Linked DNA regions of Pelodiscus sinensis. The protein of the gene in region 1 interacts with the protein of each later gene in a pairwise test. Links are inferred from orthologs where the notes say so. Each region holds a gene or a part of one and is shown on either strand. Other genes may lie near its edges.

Region 1 (9,954 bases):
CCCCGGGTGCGCCGCGCGTGCCGGTGCCGACCCTGACCCCCGGCCCTGGCCTTTGCCCCGCCCCCGGGGGCGCCGCGCCAGCCCTGGCCCCAGCCCCGGCCCCAGCCCCAGCCCCCGCTCCGCTCCCGGGGGCACCGCGCCAGACCCGGCCCCGGCACCAGCCCCGGGGGCGCTGTGCGGAACCTGGGCAGCCCCTGCCCAGGATCGCAGCACATGCCGGTGCCGACCTCGGGCGTGTGGCACATGCTTGGCCCCGCCCCCAGACACGTGGCCTGTGAGCGGCCCCGCCCCCATACACGCAGCACGTGAGCGGCCCCGCCCCCAGGCGCCCGGCAGCCCCAAAACGTTGGGGACCACTGGCATAGATGATCATTTGCAGGTAAAACACCGATCTCTCTGGAAGGAGAGAGGCAGAGATGGGTGGGTGCCTCTATAGCAGAGGTGGGCAACGTGTGGCCCACAGGCCCCATGTGGCCCATTGGGGTTCTATGTGTGGCCTGCAAGATGTTTGGTTTACTGCTGCCCACGCCGGTTGCCAGATTCTGCTGGTTTCTATCTGTGTGCATGAGACCCTTTTGATTCGCAGATTTGCTATTTGTGATTCTGCATATTCACTGGTGTCTCCTGTCCCGGCCCGGAGAGTCAGCGGGAGCCGTGGGGAACTCCCTGCGGTGAGTTCCCCGTGGCTCCCAGCCCGTGGTGACTTCCCCGCTGTGGCCAGGAGCTGTGATGAGTTCCCCAAAGCTCCCAGCTCCCACAGTGAGTTCCCCGCTGTGGCCAGGAGTTGTGGGTGCTGGGAACCACGGTGAGTTCAGGAGCCACACTTGAAGGAAGCCTGGTGCTGGGAGGGGAGCCCGCAGGGAGTAGGGGACAGGAGAGGCTGGGGCTCCTGGGCAGGGGTGGCAAGTTGGCTGAAATGTTGGTGGTGCCCAGAATACCCAGAGCCTAAACCCCTTCTCCATCCAAACTCCCACCGCCACCACCCGCCTCAGGCTCTGGAAGGGAGTTTGTTTAGCAGACTTCTGGCGTACTTAACATTTTTTGCTATTACTTTTTGGTTTTGGCTAGCTGTTCTTCAGATTGTTTTGGGCCTTCCTAATTATATTTTTACACTTCCTTTGGCATTTGCTCCTTTCTATTTTCCTCACTAGGATTTCACCTCCACTCTCTACCAATGCCTTTTTATTTCCCACTGCTTCTTTTACTCGGTTCAGCCATGGTGGCACTTTTTCAGTTCTCTATGTTTTTCTAGCTTGAGGCACACATTTAACCTGAGCCTCTATTAGGGTGTCTGAAAAGTTTGAAAACTTACGGGGATTTCACTTTTGACACTGTACCTTTCAATTTCTGTTTAACTAACCTCTTCATTGTGTGTAGTTCCCCTTTATGAAATTAAATGCCATGGTGTTGAGCTACTGTGGTATTTTTCTAACCACAGGCGTGTTAAATTTAATTAATTCACTATTTCCAAGCAGTCCAGCTATAGTCATCTCCTCAGAGCCGCCCTGTCCATAGGACCAATCAGGACAGCTGTGCCAGCCTCTGCGTTTTTGCGGGGAGGAGAACGTCCAAATGGAGCAGAAGAAAATTATCCACAGTTGGGACCTTCCTTCCAGGTGATGCAATAACCTATCACACTGAGACCTCTTCAGGGGAGGGAAGTCCAGTTATTAGGAAGACACAGGTGTTAGCATTGATGGGCTTCTGCCTGCATCCTCTTTTTACATGTAGAGTTTATCCTTTTTTTATATTTATTTTTTTAAAACAGGTGGTTTTGGTTTTAGGTTAAAAAAGTTTAAAGAATGTTAAATGTTAAGTGTAGCTAGCCCTCCTCAAACTCGGCCTGTGATGAATTCCGAAGCTGGGAACAGCACAGCCTGTGCAGCAGGGAGTTTGTTTATAAACACAGGTAGGGTAATTAAGGTAACAAACGGCTTGTCATTCAAGTGGAGTAAGGATCATTGGGTGATTAAGTCACACTCAGGATGCGTTACAGTTAACATTGACAGAGCCATGCCCCGGACCATGAGTATTCATGGTGTTAGAGCACCTCTGGGGCCCATATAACTCACTGCCTGGGAGACTGGAGAATTCTAGGGGCCAGGAGGCCAGTGCCTGCAACCTCCCCGCAGTTCAGCAAATGTGGAAATATGTGACAGGGATGCCAAAGCAACAAAGTCACGCAAAGTGGGAGACAGCCCTGCGGCTCAAGCAGCACATGGAGAGGGGACAAGTATCAGAGGGGGAGCCGTGTTAGTCTGAATCTGCAAAAGCGGCGAGGAGTCCTGTGGCACCTTATAGACTAACTGAAGTGTTGGAGCATAAGCTTTCGTGGACAAAGACCCACTTCGTCAGATGCATGTAGTGGAAATTTCCAGAGGCAGGTATAAATATGCAGGCCAGAATCAGGCTGGAGATGACGAGGTGGATCCAATCAGGGAGGATGAGGCCCACTTCTAGTTGCTGATCTGGAGGTGTGAATTCCAAGAAAGGAGAAGCTGCTTTTGTAGTTAGCGAGCCATTCACAGTCTTTGTTTAATCCTGAGTTGATTGTGTCAAACTTGAAGATGAACTGTAGCTCAGCAGTTTCTCTTTGAAGTCTGGTCCTGAAGTTTTTTTGCTGCAGGATGGCTACCTTTAGATCTGCAATTGTGTGTCCAGGGAGATTGAAGTGTTCCCCTACAGGTTTTTGTACAGTTCTTTCTGGCTCCTTGATCCCTGCACTCTTGCCTCTGAGATGAAGAGCTGAGCTGAGCACCCCGATGGAGTCGGCCACCTGGCATATTTATATCCCCTCCTGGCTTCTTCTAAGCTGGAGAGTCACATGGCCAGTGGCCAGCTGTGTCTTTGGCCTCCAGCGGTCCATTGTTCCCTGGAGCTTTGCTCATTAGCATGTCCATGGGCAAACATTCCCGGCCCATTGCTCTGCCTCAGACAGAGAATCTTTCAGCATCAACATAGAGTACATACTTATAACACACACAGACATTATACAGGTATACGAAGAGCATGTACGGAATCCGTAGACAATAAGCTTTTGTTTGACACTTCACATGGCCCCCTTTCTATCAACTTTTGGGACAAACCCCCCCCCCCATGGGCGCAGCAGTGACCTGGCTGTTTCCCTTAAACTCCGGTAACGTGATAAACATTAATGGCTACTAGCCAGGATGGGTAGGAACGGTGTCCCCAGTCTCTGTTTATCAGAGGGTGGAGATGGATGGCAGGAGAGAGATCGCTTGATCATTACCTGTTCGATTCACTCCCTGTGGGGCACCTGGCATTGGCCACTGTTGGCAGACAGGATACTGGGCTGATTGAACCTTTGGTCTGACCCAGTCTGGCCATTCTTATGCTCTTATACTTGGGAGGATATAAGGAAGGAGGCAGCATCCCCAGAAGTTCTATAGGGAACAAGAAAATGGCATTCTCGTAGGTCTCTAGGTAGGTATCTGGTTTTCACCCAGATTGTTCATTATTCGGGTCCCCCGTCCAGTAAAAAAAAAACCAGAAAATACCAGACATGTGAAATGTCCAGTATTTCCTATTTCCCTTGGACGGAAGCCCAGTGGGGACAATTTTCCCCTGCCACATCTGGCAGGGGTAGGGAAGTGAGGAGTGCGGCAGAGGCGTAGTGAAGGGGGGCAGAAGGGGACACTTGCCCCCAGGCGCCATGCTAGGAGGGCACTGGGCTGGGGTGGGAGCAAGCATATGCTGCTCTAGCTCATGTGACGCTTTGAGCAGAGACCCGGGAGCTGGCCACGTGATGCCTCCCTCTACACACGGGGAACCCAGGCAGCGAGGCTGGGCGGCAGGAGCGGTGACTTTAAGAGTAAGATTTCCTTACCCGGCCATCCTGTTCCTCGGGTGCCTGGCTCTGCGGCAGGAGAGGAGGTGGGGGTGTGTGATTTGATTGGGGCGGAGCGCTCCTGGTGCTGGGGATGCCTGGCTCAGGGGGAGGGGTGAGTGCACTAGGATGGGGGACACTGGGGCTATGTCTACACTCGCGGCTTCTTGTGCGAGCAATATGCAAATGAGGCTAAGCGTGGAATATTGCTGAGCCTCATTTGCATACCTAGTGAGCCACCATTTTTTTCAGAAGAAGATCTTGCGCAAGAAGGAGCATCTACACTGCCCCTTCTTGCGCAAAAAAACCCCTCTTGCGCAATGCCATTCTTCCTGAAAAGTAATAGGTGTAACGAAATTAGGCTCATTAGGTATGCTTAGCCTCATTTGCATATTACTCGCACAAGAAGCCACAAGTGTAGACATAGCCTGTGAGGGGCCTGGCTCTGGGGGAAGGGTGAGTGCATTGGGATGGGGGGGCACTAGGGCGCCTGGTTCTGGGGGAGGGATGAGTGCATTGGGATGGGGGGGCACTAGGGCGCCTGGTTCTGGGGGAAGGGTGAGTGCATTGGGATGGGGGGGCACTAGGGCGCCTGGCTCTGGGGAAGGGTGAGTGCATTGGGATGGGGGGGCACTAGGGCGCCTGGTTCTGGGGGAGGGGTGAGTGCACTGGGATGGGGGGACACTGGGGCGCCTGGCTCTGGGGGAGGGGTGAGTGCACTGGGATGGGGGGACACTGGGGCGCCTGGCTCTGGGGGAGGGGTGAGTGCATTGGGATGGGGGGGCACTGGGGCACCTGGCTCTGGGGGAGGGGTGAGTGCATTGGGATGGGGGGGCACTGGGGCACCTGGCTCTGGGGGAGGGATGAGTGCATTGGGATGGGGGGGGCACTGGGGCACCTGGCTCTGGGGGAGGGGTGAGTGCACTGGGATGGGGGGGCACTGGGGCACCTGGCTCTGGGGGAGGGGTGAGTGCACTGGGATGGGGGGGCACTGGGGCACCTGGCTCTGGGGGAGGGGTGAGTGCACTGGGATGGGGGGACACTGGGGCGCCTGGCTCTGGGGGAGGGGTGAGTGCATTGGGATGGGGGGGGCACTGGGGCACCTGGCTCTGGGGGAGGGGTGAGTGCATTGGGATGGGGGGCACTGGGGCACCTGGCTCTGGGGGAGGGATGAGTGCATTGGGATGGGGGGGGGCACTGGGGCACCTGGCTCTGGGGGAGGGGTGAGTGCACTGGGATGGGGGGGCACTGGGGCACCTGGCTCTGGGGGAGGGGTGAGTGCACTGGGATGGGGGGGCACTGGGGCACCTGGCTCTGGGGGAGGGGTGAGTGCACTGGGATGGGGGGCACTGAGACCAGAGCCACTTAAAGGCGCAGCGCCCTTTTTTTTCTCCACTACTTTGGTCTCCCCTTTCCCCCCCCCCCCCCAACAGAATTTTTTCCCGGTGTTTTTTTTTTGGGGGGGGGGTGTTGGGTATTTTTTGTAACCCCGTCTGCCAAGCCTATCTCTGTGGGGGGGGAGGCAGCACACGGGGTGGGGGACGCAGCGGGGAGGCGGCATTCCCGCGGGGTGTCTCTAGGGGGCCGGCCGCAGGCGGGGGCGGTGGGGGGGAGGCCGCCACGCCGGCCGCGGGCCGCAGGGGTCGCTGTGGCGCTCGCAGCCCGGCTCCGCCCGCCGAGCCGGAACCTGCGTGCCGGGGCCGCGGGGTCCGGGGGGCCGGGGCCGGCGACGGACCCGCCCCGCCGCCATGTTCGCGGGGCTGCAGGAGCTGGGGGTGGCCAACGGCGAGGACCTGAAGGAGACGCTGACCAACTGCACCGAACCGCTCAAGGCCATCGAGCAGTTCCAGGTGCGGCCCGGGGGCCCGAGGCCGGCGCCTCGAGGACCGCGCAGGGCGCATGCGCGGGGACTGGGGGGGCTCATGGGAGTGCCCCCCCCACTGGCCGCCCCCCCTCGCAGGGAGACCCCGCTGGGATCGGCGCGTCTGGGGCCCGAGGCTCCGCGTGAGGAGCCGCCCCCCCCCCCCCCGCGCGGCGGGACCCTCCTACAAAGGGCTTCACCCCCCCCCCCCGGAAGCGGCCTAACCCAGGCTGGTCCTGCGCCGCGCAAGCGACTCCCTCCTTGGGGCGGGGCGTGTCCCCCCTCCCCCCATGGCTCTGGCGAAGGGGGGTCCTGGGGGGGGGTTACCGAGCTGATGCCCTGGTACATCTCCTAATAAACCATCTTGTTAGTCTTTAAAGCGCTGCCTGGTCCTGCCTTTTGTTCCAGCTGCACCAGACTAAGGGCTGCATCTCTACCACCATTAAAAAGGAAGGGAGCCCCCCCCCCAAACCGGTCAGGATTTAGCTGTTTTGCAAACAGGTTTTGTTTTTAGCAGCGTACCCCAGGCTGAAATGTGAGAAGGAAGCCTTGTTTCTCTTGGCGGGCACTCTGTTTTATTGCCAACCAGGAATTTGTGTTTAATCCAAAACTTAGGACTCTTATGGTGTTTGTTTTGCTAGACAGAAAATGGAGTCCTCCTGCCCTCTCTCCAGTCTGCTCTGCCATTCTTGGACCTCCACGGCACTCCTAGGTTGGAATTTCATCAGTCTGTATTTGATGAGCTGAGGGAGAAACTGCTAGAGAGAGTTTCAGCCATTGCCTCAGAAGGAAAAGTTGAGGAAAGGTGTGTTACTGATCTTGTTGCTGCATATTACTCATCATTAGAAATTAATTGCAAAATCATGGAAGGTAAAGTTTTTTAAAAAAACTTAAGTGCTTAAGTCCCATTTTCAAAAGCAATTCAAGCACTTAAGACCTTAAGTGACTCAGGGGTTTTGAAAACTTTACCTTGCAACTTTTCTTGCTTGCATGTTTCCAGATACAAAAAGCTAGAGGATCTGCTGGAAAAATGTTTTTCCTTGGTCAAGATGCCATCTATACAGCCTGTGGTGATGTGTGTCATGAAACACCTTCCCAAGGTAAAATCTCCTTATATCTCCTGGTTACAACAGTCCCTTTTACTTTCTGCTGTTAGCTGGGCTGTGTGGCACATTTGCAAACTCTTCAGTTAATCATTCACTGGTAGAGATTTTGGCTTACACTTTGATTCTCATATCAGTTAATTTTAATGTAGTTTAAAAAGCATTTCATACTTTATAAATGAATTAGCGAGAGAAGCGTGTTTTTCTGTTTTTAAAATGTGCCTGTCCTCCCTCATCCTTCTGAAAAATAGATTGAACTCAGTGGTAGGGGGCTTTTTCATCACTGATTTAAACGGCAAGTGGGACATTGTAAGGATGACCTAGTAAATTATATAGCTTAAATTTTAAAGCTAGATTTTTTTTTTGTAAAGGGCAATATTTCTGGGAAAGGGCACGTAAAAGGAAACAACCCTTCATGTAAGGCACTAAGTATCCTTAATATAATCGCTTCAAAACTAGGGATGTTAAAAATCATGTAATATGGTAACCAGGCAGGAGGTTTTGCTGCCTTGCCACATTGAAGAGGACTCCCTGGGAGTTGGCTGAGATTAACTGATAAACATCAGTTTAAAAGTTTATGGGTTAATTGATTAAACTCTCATCCCTATTCAAAACCTCTGCTAGTGCTTTGTACTTTGTAGAGCTTTGAACCGTCACTGTAGAATGCTTTTCTTCCTTTTTTAATAGGGGAAGATATTTGTTGTAAAACTAACTGAAGGAAAATGTAATGCTTTATCTCGAAAGCTAAATACTTTAAAATCAGGATCCTTTTGGAGGGGCAGGATCATAAAAGAAGGGTCTCTGCTGTTTCCTTATGTTTTAATTGCACTGGCTATAGAAGTTACTGGCCAGTTCAAGGCTGTGATGTCGATCTTTCCAGTAGTTAACTACCTACCATTTTAACAATCTGACCGGTGAACCCCTAGCTAAACTTTTTCCTGACTCTGCACTGTTGTTCATAGGTCCCTGAAAAGAAACTGAAGTTAGTGATGGCAGATAAGGATTTATACAAAGCATGTGCCGTGGAGGTGAAGCGCCAGATCTGGCAGGATAACCAAGCTCTGTTCGGTGATGAGGTGTCCCCATTGCTAAAACAGTACATCCTGGAAAAAGAAAACACTCTCTTCAGTAGTGATCTCTCTGTCTTGCACAACTTCTTCAGTCCCTCTCCAAAAACGAGACGTCAGGGAGAGGTAAGAACAGGAAGAACTTACAGTGAAATTTGGAACAGGATTCTCCAATCTCTGTCTTTGAAAAGGGAGCATATTGGGTTCCTATCCTGCCAGTATTATCAGAGAATTGAGCATCCATCTGGCCTTGAAACTTTGCTACCACCTGGAAAAAGCTATGTAAATATTTTGGCTAGTTACTTAGTGTCAGTTTATCTTCTTTAAACAAGTCTTAATGAAATAAACTAGGGATGTCAAAGCCAATTTTTAATTAGTTAACTGGTTAAAAGTAATGTTTAACCAGTTAACCGATTAATGGGGAGGGCAGTTGCGGGGGTGAGCAGCTGCCCACCTATCACTGCCCGTGCTGGAATGGCCCCCCCCTTGCTGCAGACTGGGACTGCCCCTGCTGCGCTGGACCTCCCTGCCTGTAGTGAGCCTTGGTCAAGCCTTCTGCCAACAGGGGCTGCTCTGGCTGGGCTAGAGTACCACCTACCCACAGCAGGCCCTGCGGAGCTGGAGCAGCCCCCCACCCATGGCAGGTGGGAAGCTGCTCCGGCCCCTACTGGTTAACCATTTACATCCCTAAAATAAACAGGCTAATTTTATATTTAATAAATTAAACATAAAGCTCAATGTTGTTATAATTGTATTACTTTGTCACTAGGTGCCATTCCAATAGGTTAATCTTTTGTTTAAGCAGATTTTTTAAAATAACATTTAAATTGCTAAGCAAAATGTGTAATTAATATTTTTTCCTCGTTCTATCAGTCTGGGATTTAATATAACGCCCAGCTTTATCTACTGTATATTTGAGAGAGTTTGTCCTTGAATCTGTTTGTTTGTTCAAGAACTCCTCCTAAACGGTAAGAGCTTGGACTACCAAATTTGGAATATTGTTTCCTCTTCTCATAATTTAAAGTAAGGTCAGGGTTTGGTTGTGCCAGGAAAGTGGGATGTTCCTGGAATAGGATGGCTTTTCATAATACCATATAGCAGGGGTTCCCAAACTTTTTGACACAGGGACCAGTAAATCCATTCACGAGGTTTTTCAGGACCGATAACATATATTTGCATATTCAATAAGCAAATGATGAATATTCAAATAAGTTGTTTCTGGTCCTCCCAAAACCCGCAGTGCCAGTGTTAGCAAAGCTTTTGATACAGTGACCCACAATATTCTTGCCAGCAAGTTAAGGGAATATGGATTGGATAAATGGACTGTAAGATGGATAGAAAGCTGGCTAGACCAGGGGTTCCCAAACTTTTTACTTTAGTTGGAACCCAGTTTTTTTTCAGAACTGTCTTTTGCAGCCCAAAAATATAAACGCATATTTAAAAAAAAGAATGAAAAATGAATACATTTTCAGTGTTTTGCCCGGTTGCATCCTCCACCCAGCCTGGGCCAGGGTTTGGGTAACCCGGCGCCACATGAGCACTTCAGGAGGCAGGAGCAGGAGCAGATTGGGGGTGGGGTATCTGGCTAGGAGGGAGAGTGCAAGGAGGGGTAGGGTTGCCAGGTGTCCAGTTTTGTACCGGACAGTCTGGTATTTGAAGGTTTTGTCTGGAAAAGAAATTGAGAAATTACCAGACATATAAAATGCCTGGTATTTTCTAATTAGGTACGTCTTAATATAATTAAGTGTAATAGTCCTTAGCTGCCTGGCTGGTAGATGTGCTTGCGCTGTCTGAGTGTGTCTACCTGCCAGGCAGTTCGCAACTACTCCAGGGAGGGGGCAAAATGGAATCCGCAGCCAGACTCACTGGTCTGCCAGGGTCTGCATATGCCCAGGTCAGTCCCACTCTCCCCCCCCCTTCTCTTCCCGATCTCCCCAGTCCAGCCCTGCTGCCCCCATCTAGCCCTGCTTCCAGCGGTCGGTTCCCCCCGCCACCCACCAATCTTCCCCGGTCAGCCCCGCTCCCCCGACAACCCCCACCACCACCAGCCCTGCTGCCCCCGTCCAGCCCTGCTTT
Region 2 (9,728 bases), on another chromosome or scaffold:
CCGTATCAAAGGCCTCACTAAATCTAGGTATACCACATCTACCACTTCCCCCTTAGCCACAAGACTCGTTATCCTATCAAACGATAGGGGGACTAGGGGGCACTGCTGGGGCCCTGATCCCCCTAGTTCCCCTCACGGGCCCCCGGCAGCGCCCCAAACCCCCCCAGCTCCTCGGCACACCCCAGCCCTGCCCCACCACACTCCCAAATCCCCCGCACACTCCTCCGCACCCCCCAATCTCCTGGGAGCCCCCACCAGGCACATCAAGGGGTGCTGACCTGGCCCGGCCCGGCCGCCACGTGCGTGGGCTGCTTGGCCCCGAAGGTCTGGGCGTGTTTGCTGGTGCGCTCCTTCTTGGCCTCCACCGCCGCGTAGTACCTGGGGCGGGAGAGCGGGTGAGGGGAGCCGCCCGGGGCAGCCGGGGGGCGGGCGAGGGCAGAGGCCCGGCCAGGGGGGACTCACCCCTTGGTGAGGAAGGCGCCGCGGGCGTCGAGGAGCAGGAAGAGCTCGTGCTGGGTCTTGTGGCTGGTGCCCGTGTACAGATAGTGCTCCAGGGGCACCGGGCGCCGCAGGGTGCTGATCACGTAGATCCGCTTCCGCTTCATCCGCCTGCGCCCGGGGGGGGGGGGGGGGGGGGGGGCGGGGGGGAGGTCAGTGCTCACGGCCCCCCCTGCCTGCCCCCAAAGCCCCCCCCCCCCCCCCAGCCTCCCCTTCCTGCTCAGCCCCCCACCCCCAATGTGGTGGCTGGGCAGTTTGCTTTGCTGAGGCGGCTACTCAGTCCCCACAGCCCCCCAACTCTCCTGCCCCCTTCCCCATAACCCTTCCCTGCCCCACAGGCCCCCCAACTCCCCTGCCCCCCCAACTCCCCTGCCCCCTTCTCCACAGCCCTTCCCCTGTCCCACCGCCCCCCCCAACTCCCCTACCCCACAGCCCCTCACCCGATCCAGTCGGCGAACTCCAGTGTGTTGGGCACAGGTGGCGCTCAGCAGGATGATGTTCACGTGTTCGGGCAGCATGATCAGCACCTCCTCCCACACCACCCCGCGCTGGGGGGGGGGGGGGGGAGAACACGGGGTCAGGGAACAGCCGCCCACCCCTCCTCCCACACCACCCCGCGCTGGGGGGGGGGGGGGGGGCGGACGACACAGGGTCAGGGAACGGCCGCCCACCCCTCCTCCCACACCACCCCACACTGGGGGGACACGGGGTCAGGGAACGGCCGCCCATCCCCTCCGCCCACACCACCCCGCACTGGGGGAACACGGGGTCAGGGAACGGCCGCCCACCCCCTCCGCCCACACCACCCCGCGCTGGGGGAGGACACGGGGTCAGGGAATGGCCGCCCACCCCTCCTCCCACACCACCCTGCGCTGGGGAGACACGGGGGTCAATCCCCACCTCTGCCCCTCGCCCTGCTCCTCACCTCAGCGTCATTCACGTAATGAACCTCGTCAAAGATCACCCATTCCAGGTCCCGGATCACGTCCGAGCCGTTGTACAGCATGGACCTGTGCCAGACGGACAGACAGACAGCTAGAGCCCGCCCCCAACCCAGCCCGACTCCCTGGCCCGCAGCCCCGAGTATCCACCCGCAGCCCCCCCATCCCGCAGCCCCTCGCCCCGACTCCCTGGCCCGCAGCCTCTGTCCCCGCCCCACAGCCCCGAGTATCCACCCGCAGCCCCCCCATCCCGCAGCCCCTCGCCCCGACTCCCCGCCGCTCACCGCAGGATCTCGGTGGTCATGATGAGGCAGGAGGCGTCGGGGTGCAGCTGCACATCCCCCGTCAGCAGCCCCACGTCCCCAAAGGTGTTCTTGAAATCCCGGAACTTCTGGTTGGACAGGGCCTTGATGGGGGAGGTGTAGATGGTCCTGGGGGGGGGCAGGAAGGGTTAACAACAGGGACCAGTGGGGGGAGGGGCTAGATCCAGCAGGGGGAGGGGCCCTCACCTGGTCATGTGCTTCTGGGCCAGGGCGATGGCGTATTCGGCCACCACCGTCTTGCCGGCCGAGGTGGTGCGCGGCCACGAAGAGCGAGTCGCGCCGCTCCAGGTGCAGGATGGCCTGTTTCTGGAACACGTCCGGCTCGAACGGCCACTGGGCCGGGGAAACCGAGTCAGGCGGGACGCCCCTCTCCCCGTGGCGCGTCCCCAGGCTCCCCAGCCGACCCCCACGGCACAAGGGAACTGAGGCTAGCATCCGGCCCTGGGCCCCACAACCCCGTGACACGTCTCCCTGGCTCCCCCACCCCAGGGCAGCCCCCGCCCCCCTCAGGGCCCCAGCCCAGCGCGGCCCAGGCAGGGTCTCACCCGGAAGGCCGGGTCGGGGATGCGTTTGTAGAAGTCGTCCACGGGCGAGGAGGTGTCGACGGGAATCGCCCACTGCTCCTTGGGCGGCTCGGGGGGCGCGGCCTGGGCGGGCGGGGGAGGTCCGGGGGTCACCTCCTGTGGGGGCAGAAGGGCTGGTTACGGGGCTCCGCCCCCCAGGGCGTTCCTGCCTCGGCCTGCCCCCAAAACCCCCCTCCCCCAGCCCAACCCCCCCTTTTCTGCACCCTGCCCACAGCCTCCCCTCCCCCCCACCAGAACAAGCCCCGTCCCCCAACATCCACCCCCCCAGCTGTCCCGCCTCCACCTTCAGCACCAGCTCCTCCAGGCTGTCTGCCCGCTGGGGGGCGGGGGCAGGGGCGGGGGGCGTCGCTCCCTCCTTCCCCTTGGTCTTCCTCTTCGTCTCCTCCTCCTCGTCGCTGGAGCCGCCCAGCTGGAAGGAGTCCAGGGTCCCCAGCAGCCCGGCCAGGGGCAGCAGGCCCGGTGCGCTCTGGCGCGGCGCAGCTAGGGGGCAAAAGGGGGGGGTTAGGGGGCGCCGGGAGGAGGGAGTCCCTCCAAGCGAGCCCAGCCAGCGGGGTGCCCCCCTCCAGGACACCAGTGTCTGCCCGGCCCCCCATGGAGAGACCAGCCCCCCAGATCAGTACCTTGCGGCTTGAAGTCCACCCCCTTCTTCCAGCCGGGGGCACCGTCAGCAAGTCTGGGCAGCGGGGAAGGAAAACAGGCAGAGTTACACCAGCCAAAGTTGGGAGGGGGCGGGGGGGAGAGAGGGGGCAGGGGCCTGTCTCCACCAGGGGGCGCCAGGTCTGGCCCCTCTAGGGGTGCTGCCTCCCACCCGGCCCCAGGGCAGGACCTGGCAGGGTGGGGGGGGGGTCTGGCCCCTCTAGGGGTGCCGCCTCCCACCGGGCCCCAGGGCAGGACCTGGCAGGGCGGGGGGGGGGGGGTCTGGCCCCTCTAGGGGTGCCGCCTCCACCCGGCCCCAGGGCAGGGCACTGAAGGGCACCCAGAGCCCGCCAGGCCCGAGGGGATGGGGGCGGGGGAGAGGCAGGACACCCGGCCCCCTCACACCTTTCTCAAAGTCCACATCCTCCTCCAGCTGGTCCTGGGCGCAGATCTGCTCCAAGCTGGGCTCGTCCATCCCGCTGGGGAGCAGAGAGAGGCTGAGTCCCAGCAGCACCGATGGGGGGGGGGGGGGCGGGGGAGAAGGAGGGGGACGTACCTGGCCAGAAGGGGTAGTTGGTGCTGCTGCCCCGCAAGGCCTGGGCGGGGGGCCCCGGGGCCCGCTGGAGGGAGAGCGAGTTCTTGGCCGACAGCCCCATGTTGTCCAGCAGCGCCTGGGGCGGAGAGCGAGGAGCGGGGCCTTCACTCACCGTGGCCCCCGGACAGCGCCAGGGCAGCGTCGCAAAGCCCCGGAAACGCCCCTTACGCCGCCCCCCGCTCAGGCCTCCGCCCCGCCGGCCGGGGACTCGCAGGGCAGCGCTGCTCAACCCCCCGCGCGCCCGACCTGCTCACCCCGCCACCCCCAGGGCACGAGGCCGCTTGGAACTCTGCGCTTCAGGGGGGCTGGTCTCCTGCCCCCGCACTCAGCCTCCTCTCCCAGGGCGTGACGAGGGGGGTCGTACGTGGGCTCTCGGGAGCCTGAAAGGATCAACGCCCCGAGGGAGGAACCACACAACCCGAAGCACCGAAAAAGAGAATCCGCCTTCCGCTGAGCAGACGGAAAGGAACCCGCGTCCACCCGCGCTGCTTTGGATGGGAATCGGGCAGAACCCCTTAACGCCAAGGAGACGTGTGCGCTGGCAGGGCGGGCGCAGCACGAAGGGGCGTGTGAAACTTTAGCGCATCCGGCACGTAAATACTCGGGGACGCCGGCCACAGCGGCACAGGCCGGCTCTCACACTCAGGTGGCCGTGGGAATAAGAAACAGGCAGCATCCTCACACCCACTGCGGCCAACCCGTGAGTCTGAGCAATTGGCCGAACAGGAAATAGGACTGAGTGGACTTTCTTGTAGGGTTTTTTTTTTAAATGCAGTTAGCTTGCGTACATGGGTCTATATTTGGGAGCACAACTGAAGCTGTTGCACAAGACTTGTAGTGGGAGAATTGAGCGAGACCCCCTCTTTTGTTGGTATCGCTCGTGCTTACGAAATTAGGAGAGCATTGTACATTTTGTATTCTTTGTTATAAACACGGCTGTTGGGTAACAGAAGGATTAAAGGTGCGTTTAGTTTTTTAAATCAGTCCCCCAGGCCAGCATCTCTCATGTGCCGAAAGGCCCCCCCCAGCCTAGGGAGGGAGGCATGGGACCCAGGCGTCCAGGCCAGCACGTTTTGGGCGCAGTGTGGCTGCCAGGACAGGACCCCCGTGCCTGGATGGGCTCACCTCTCGGAAGGCCAGGATCTGCCCCGTGGTGGGGTCCCGCTCCGCCTGCAGAGTGGCGTGCACAGGGGTGGCGTCTGTCTCCAGCAGCGACCACACGTCCTTCTCCCGCGGCCAGCACCTGGAGGGGGGCACAGAGGCGGAGTCAGCGCCCGCTGCACCCCGATGTCCCGCCCCTCTCCGCGGCCGAAGGGCTGGTGCCCGCAGGGGTTTTCGGGGAGGCGGGTGGGCACCAGGACTCACCTGTGGGCCCTGTCGAAGCGGTGGAGGGGCAGCCATTCGGGGCTGGCCAGGAAGCGCCGCTCCAGCTCAGAGGCCAGGTCCATGGTGAAGGGGGGCAGCCCGTGGGGCAGCTGGAGAGGGAGAGGGGAGGTGTGAAAGGCCCGTGGGGCAGTGGCGGGGTAGGGGAGGGAAGGAGATGGCGGCCGGGGGGGGGTCTCACCGTGCAGAGGGGGATGGTGCCGCCATCGGGCCCCTCCGGCCGGGTGACGAGCTCGAAGCGCCCGGCGCAGCCGACTTCCAGCAGGGACAGGGGCAGCTCCAGGGGCCCCCGGGGGGGCAGCGCTGGGGGGGGGCACAAGGGGGGGTCGGACTCTGCAACAGGCAGAGACCCCTCCCCCTGCAGATCCCGCTGGAGCCTGCCACGGCCCCCTCCTGCCCCTCCCCCCACTACCCCTGCCCCCTCCTGCACCTGCGCCCCTCCCCCCACTACCCCCTCCTGCCCCTGCCCCCCTCCTGCCCCTCCCCCCACTACCCCCTCCTGCCCCTGCCCCCCTCCTGCCCCTCCCCCTGCCCCCTCCTACCCCTGCCCCCCTCCTGCCCCTGCGCCCCTCCCCCCCACTACCCCCTCCTGCCCCTCCCCCCCACTGCCCCCCTCCTGCCCCTCCCCCCACTACCCCTGCCCCTCCCCCCACTACCCGCTCCTGCCCCCCTCCTGCCCCTCCCCCTCACTTGCCCCCAGCGCCCCCCCTCACTCATTCGCTCCATGTCGGCAGCCGCGGGCCGCCCCCTGACCCGGAAGGGCTCCGCGCGGGGCCGGCGCAGCATGGCCCTGCGGGGCGGAAGCCGGGGAGAGAACCAGGGCGAGCGCTGCGGGGCGGAAGTGACGCCAGCCGGCGCCGCGCCCCAGGGATAAGAGGAGCCGGGCGCGAGGCAGGCAAATGAGGGCGCCGCTCCGCCAATGAGCGTGCTCCGAGCCTGCGCGCGAGCGGGGAGAGCCGCGCCACGCTAGAGCCGCCGCGGACGGGGAGCGGAGAGGGTCAGTCCGCGGGGGGGGCAACCTGCGCGCGCGCCCCCCCCCCCAACAGCCCCTCTCCCTGGCCGCCTGCCGCGGTGCATCATGGGAGCGGGGCTGCGGAGGTGGGGGGGGAGTTGGTGGGGCCTGGGGCGGGAGCAGGGGGCGGGGCTTGGGGCAGGGAGGGGGCGGAGCTTGGGGGCAGTGTAAGACTAGGGGGCGGGGCTGGGGGCAGGGCCTGTGGCGGAGGCAGGGGAGGAGCTTGGGTCAGGGAGGGGGCGGGGCCTGCAGCAGGGGGCGGGGCCTGCAGCAGGGGGCGGGAGCAGGGGCGGAGCTTGGGGCAGTGCACGTGTATGGGGCTGGGGGCGGGGCCTGCAGCAGGGGGCGGGAGCAAGGGCGGAGCTTGGGGCAGTGCACGTGTATGGGGCTGGGGGCGGGGCCTGCAGCAGGGGTGGGAGCAGGGGGCGGAGCCTGGATCTAGGGCAGGGGGCGTGGCTTAGGGTGGGGGCGGGGCGGGAGCAGGTTGCAGCTACCCCAGGACATTGTGGGTAACGCCCGGGGTCGGGAGGTAATCGTGGAATTGAGTAACCGATTAATCGATATGCAAAAACGTGTCGGTGAATGCTACAGCCGACTCGCCGCCCCCCCAGTAAATGTGCGCGCAGACTGGCCAGCAGCCCAGCTGGGTCCTGGCTTGCGCCGGATCCGGGGCCTGGCCCTGCTGCGGCTCTGCCGTTCAAGTGCATTAGGAGCCGGGCGGGCAGGGAGCCTGGCTCAGGTCTGGCTTGCGCCGGATCCGGGGCCTGGCCCTGCTGCGGCTCTGCCGTTCAAGTGCATTAGGAGCCGGGCGGGCAGGGAGCCTGGCTCAGGTCTGGCTGACGCCGGCTCCGGGAGCTCAGACCCCCCCGACCCCAGACGGGCTGCTGCCCCCCTGCGCTGCTGCCTCTGTATCAGGCAGGCGGCTGGTCCGCAGGGGGGCTGGCTTTGAAACAGGCTCCCCTCGCAGACCGGCTCCCGGCGCTGCTGCCTCGGACACCGCGGCAGCGGCACGGCGGGGCGGGGGCTCCTCGGGAGTGGGGCCGTGTCGTGTGCTTTGCTTTTAGATCCCAGGGAAAGCGGAACCCCCCAGAGAGACGTTCCCGCAGTTGTTTGAGTGTGACAAGCCTTAGCAACAATCGCTGGACAATTGAAAACACTGGAGCTATGGCTACACTCGCGGCTTCTTGCGGGAGTAATATGCAAATGAGGCGAAGCGTGGAATATCGCCGAGCCTCATTTGCATACCTAATGAGCCCCCACTTTTTTCAGAAGAGGCTCTTGCGCCAGGAGGAGCATCTACACTGCCCCTTCTTGGGCAAGAAAACCCTCTTGCCGCGAATGTAGACATAGCCCAGGGCTTAAAATTGAAAGCAATTCGCACAGCGCGAAGTGCACACGCCAGTCCTAGCCGATTCTAATACCCTCATTGCGCCTAGGTCACTTACATGTCACCGGTGCGCTCCCGACAGTGCCAGGCCGGGGGTCGTGGTGGCTTGGATGCCTGCACGTCGGCACTGAAGGGGTGTGAAGGGTCCGTTCCTTGTTCCAGTGTGTCAGGGACCCCCCGTCCCCGATCCTGCACCCCCGTAGCAGCCAGAACAGACTCCCCAGCCGGTAGAACAGGGGGGTTATTGCTTCTCCGGGATACAGCCCAGCACAGACGCGATGTGGCTACAGGAGTCAGGGCCAGGATACCTCCGACCCCTAGGGTTAGGGGTCCATCGCCCCCTCAGCTTAGTCTGTTCCCCTCATGTTTCCCAGCCAGAAGCCGCCTTGCTCCCAGAACCTGCCCTCCCGTCTCCCCCTCCCTCTGGGACGGGCTGGGACCCGTGTCTGGGTGAGTCTGGGAATCGCACCTCACAGCGCAGGGGGACCCCGGGTCACAGAGCAGACAGGCCCCCCCCCCGCGATTGTTCTTCCTAAACCCAACTGACAGCCAAGCGAGACTTGGTCGGCCTACGCCTGTCTACCCATCAGCTACCGTTTCCGGAAGATCCCTCGTATGCCGATATCCAGGGTCCATTTGCAATGGCCCGGTATGCGCCAGCGCGTCTGGACTGTCTCTTATCACAGTGGGACGTCCTAGGACCAGGCTGTTCCTGCTCTCTGGCCTGGTCTCGCCGGCCTGTCCACGTTCCGCAGCGTTGGGCAGCCCTGCTGACTCCCCCCCCGGCCTGCGTACCGACGTGTGCGCCCAGGCTCCAACCAGACCCAGGGGGGGTGTTAGAGCCGTGCTTGGCCAAGGCCGGGCGCTGCAGGCGTTGCTGGTCTGGACCCGGGAGGGCCGCCCTGGCTCCCCGGCAGCGCTGCCTCCACCCCCAGGGACTCCAGACCAGTCGAGTAACGGCTCAGAATCCGCGATCACTCGGCTAGTCAGTGAACCAACATCGACCATCCGTAGTGCAGGGGGAGGCTCCACCCCCCCCCCGCTCACCCCTGTGTCTGCTTCCTCCCGCAGCCCCCGGGTGCCAGTGCAGCCTCCCCCCCACGAGCGCCCCACCATGCTCGTCCTGCCCCCCGGCCTCACCGAACAGGAGGAGGCCTTGCAGAAGAAGTTTGCCAAGCTGAAGAAGAAGGTCGGAGCCTGTCGCCCCACCTGGGGGGGGGGGTGCTGGGTGAGATGGGCCCTGTGGGGCAGGGGGAGGGGCGTGTGGGGCAGGGGGAGGGGTGTGTGGGGCAGGGGGAGGGGTATGCGGGGCAAGATTGCGGGGCAAGATGGGCCCTGTGGGGCGGGGGGGGATACTCGGGGCGAGATGGGCCCTGTGGGGCGGGGGGAGGGGTGTGTGGGACAGGGGGAGGGGTGTGCGGGGCGAGATGGGCCCTGTGGGGCGGGGGAAGGGGCGTGTGGGGCAGGGGGAGGGGTGTGCGGGGCGAGATGGGCCCTGTGGGGCGGGGGGAGGGGCGTGTGGGGCAGGGGGAGGGGTGTGCGGGGCGAGATGGGCCCTGTGGGGCGGGGGGAGGGGCGTGTGGGGCAGGGGGAGGGGTGTGCGGGGCGAGATGGGCCCTGTGGGGCGGGGGGAGGGGGTATGCAGGGCCTGTGGGGTTCTGGGGCTGCGGGGCGGGGGCAGGAACTGACGGACGTTTTCACCCCCCAGAAAAAGGCTCTTCTGGCTCTAAAGAAGCAGCAAAGCTCCACCAGCCAGGCCAGCCAAGGAGGCATCAAACGCTGTGAGGCCGGGCAGAGCCTGGGGGGTGCTGGGGGTGGGGGCAGGGGCCGGCGGGCGGAGGGGACCTGGGAGCCCGGATGGCTGGGATCTCTGGGAGGGCAGTGGGGGCCGGTGGTTACAGCGGGATGCAGTGGGGGCGGGTGGTGGCAGTGGGGGGGCAGTCCCCCGTGGTTACAAGCAGGGGGAAGCGGAAGCCAGTGGTTACAGTGGGCGGGGGGTTGGTGGTTACAGCGGGAGGGGATCCCCCGTGGTTGCAGCAGGGGCCGGCGGTCCCAGCGGGGGGTGGGACAGGGGCCGGCGGTTCCAGCGGGGGGGGGGAGGCAGGGGCCGGCGGTTCCAGCGGGGGGGGCAGGGCCGGCGGTTCCAGCGGGGGGGGGGGACAGGGGCCGGCGGTCCCGGCGGGGGGGGGGCAGGGGCTGGCAGTCCCAACGGGGGGGGGGGACAGGGGCCGGCGGTCCCGGCGGGGGGGGGGGAGGCAGGGCCCGGCGGTTCCAGCGGGGGGGGCAGGGCCGGCGGTCCCGGCGGGGGGGGGGGACAGGGGCCGGCGGTCCCGGCGGGGGGGGGGCAGGGGCCGGCGGTCCCGGCGGGG

Evidence for each region. The genes of interacting proteins can lie anywhere in the genome.
Region 2: the proteins of NELFB (region 1) and negative elongation factor E-like interact in binary tests that used the Homo sapiens proteins (3 or more experiments, as listed by UniProt). The link is inferred for Pelodiscus sinensis from reciprocal best matches to the Homo sapiens genes NELFB and NELFE.

Annotation. Positions count from the first base shown.
Region 1 is NC_134732.1:3,323,571-3,333,524, forward strand, and holds the start of NELFB (negative elongation factor B), read left to right. Parts: upstream 1-5,534; 5' UTR 5,535-5,595; coding exon 5,596-5,697; intron 5,698-6,349; coding exon 6,350-6,513; intron 6,514-6,708; coding exon 6,709-6,808; intron 6,809-7,773; coding exon 7,774-8,004; intron 8,005-9,954. UniProt on the Homo sapiens protein: Essential component of the NELF complex, a complex that negatively regulates the elongation of transcription by RNA polymerase II.
Region 2 is NW_027466016.1:18,737-28,464, forward strand, and holds the start of negative elongation factor E-like, read left to right. Parts: upstream 1-5,798; 5' UTR 5,799-5,957; intron 5,958-8,430; 5' UTR 8,431-8,473; coding exon 8,474-8,548; intron 8,549-9,067; coding exon 9,068-9,140; intron 9,141-9,728. UniProt on the Homo sapiens protein: Essential component of the NELF complex, a complex that negatively regulates the elongation of transcription by RNA polymerase II.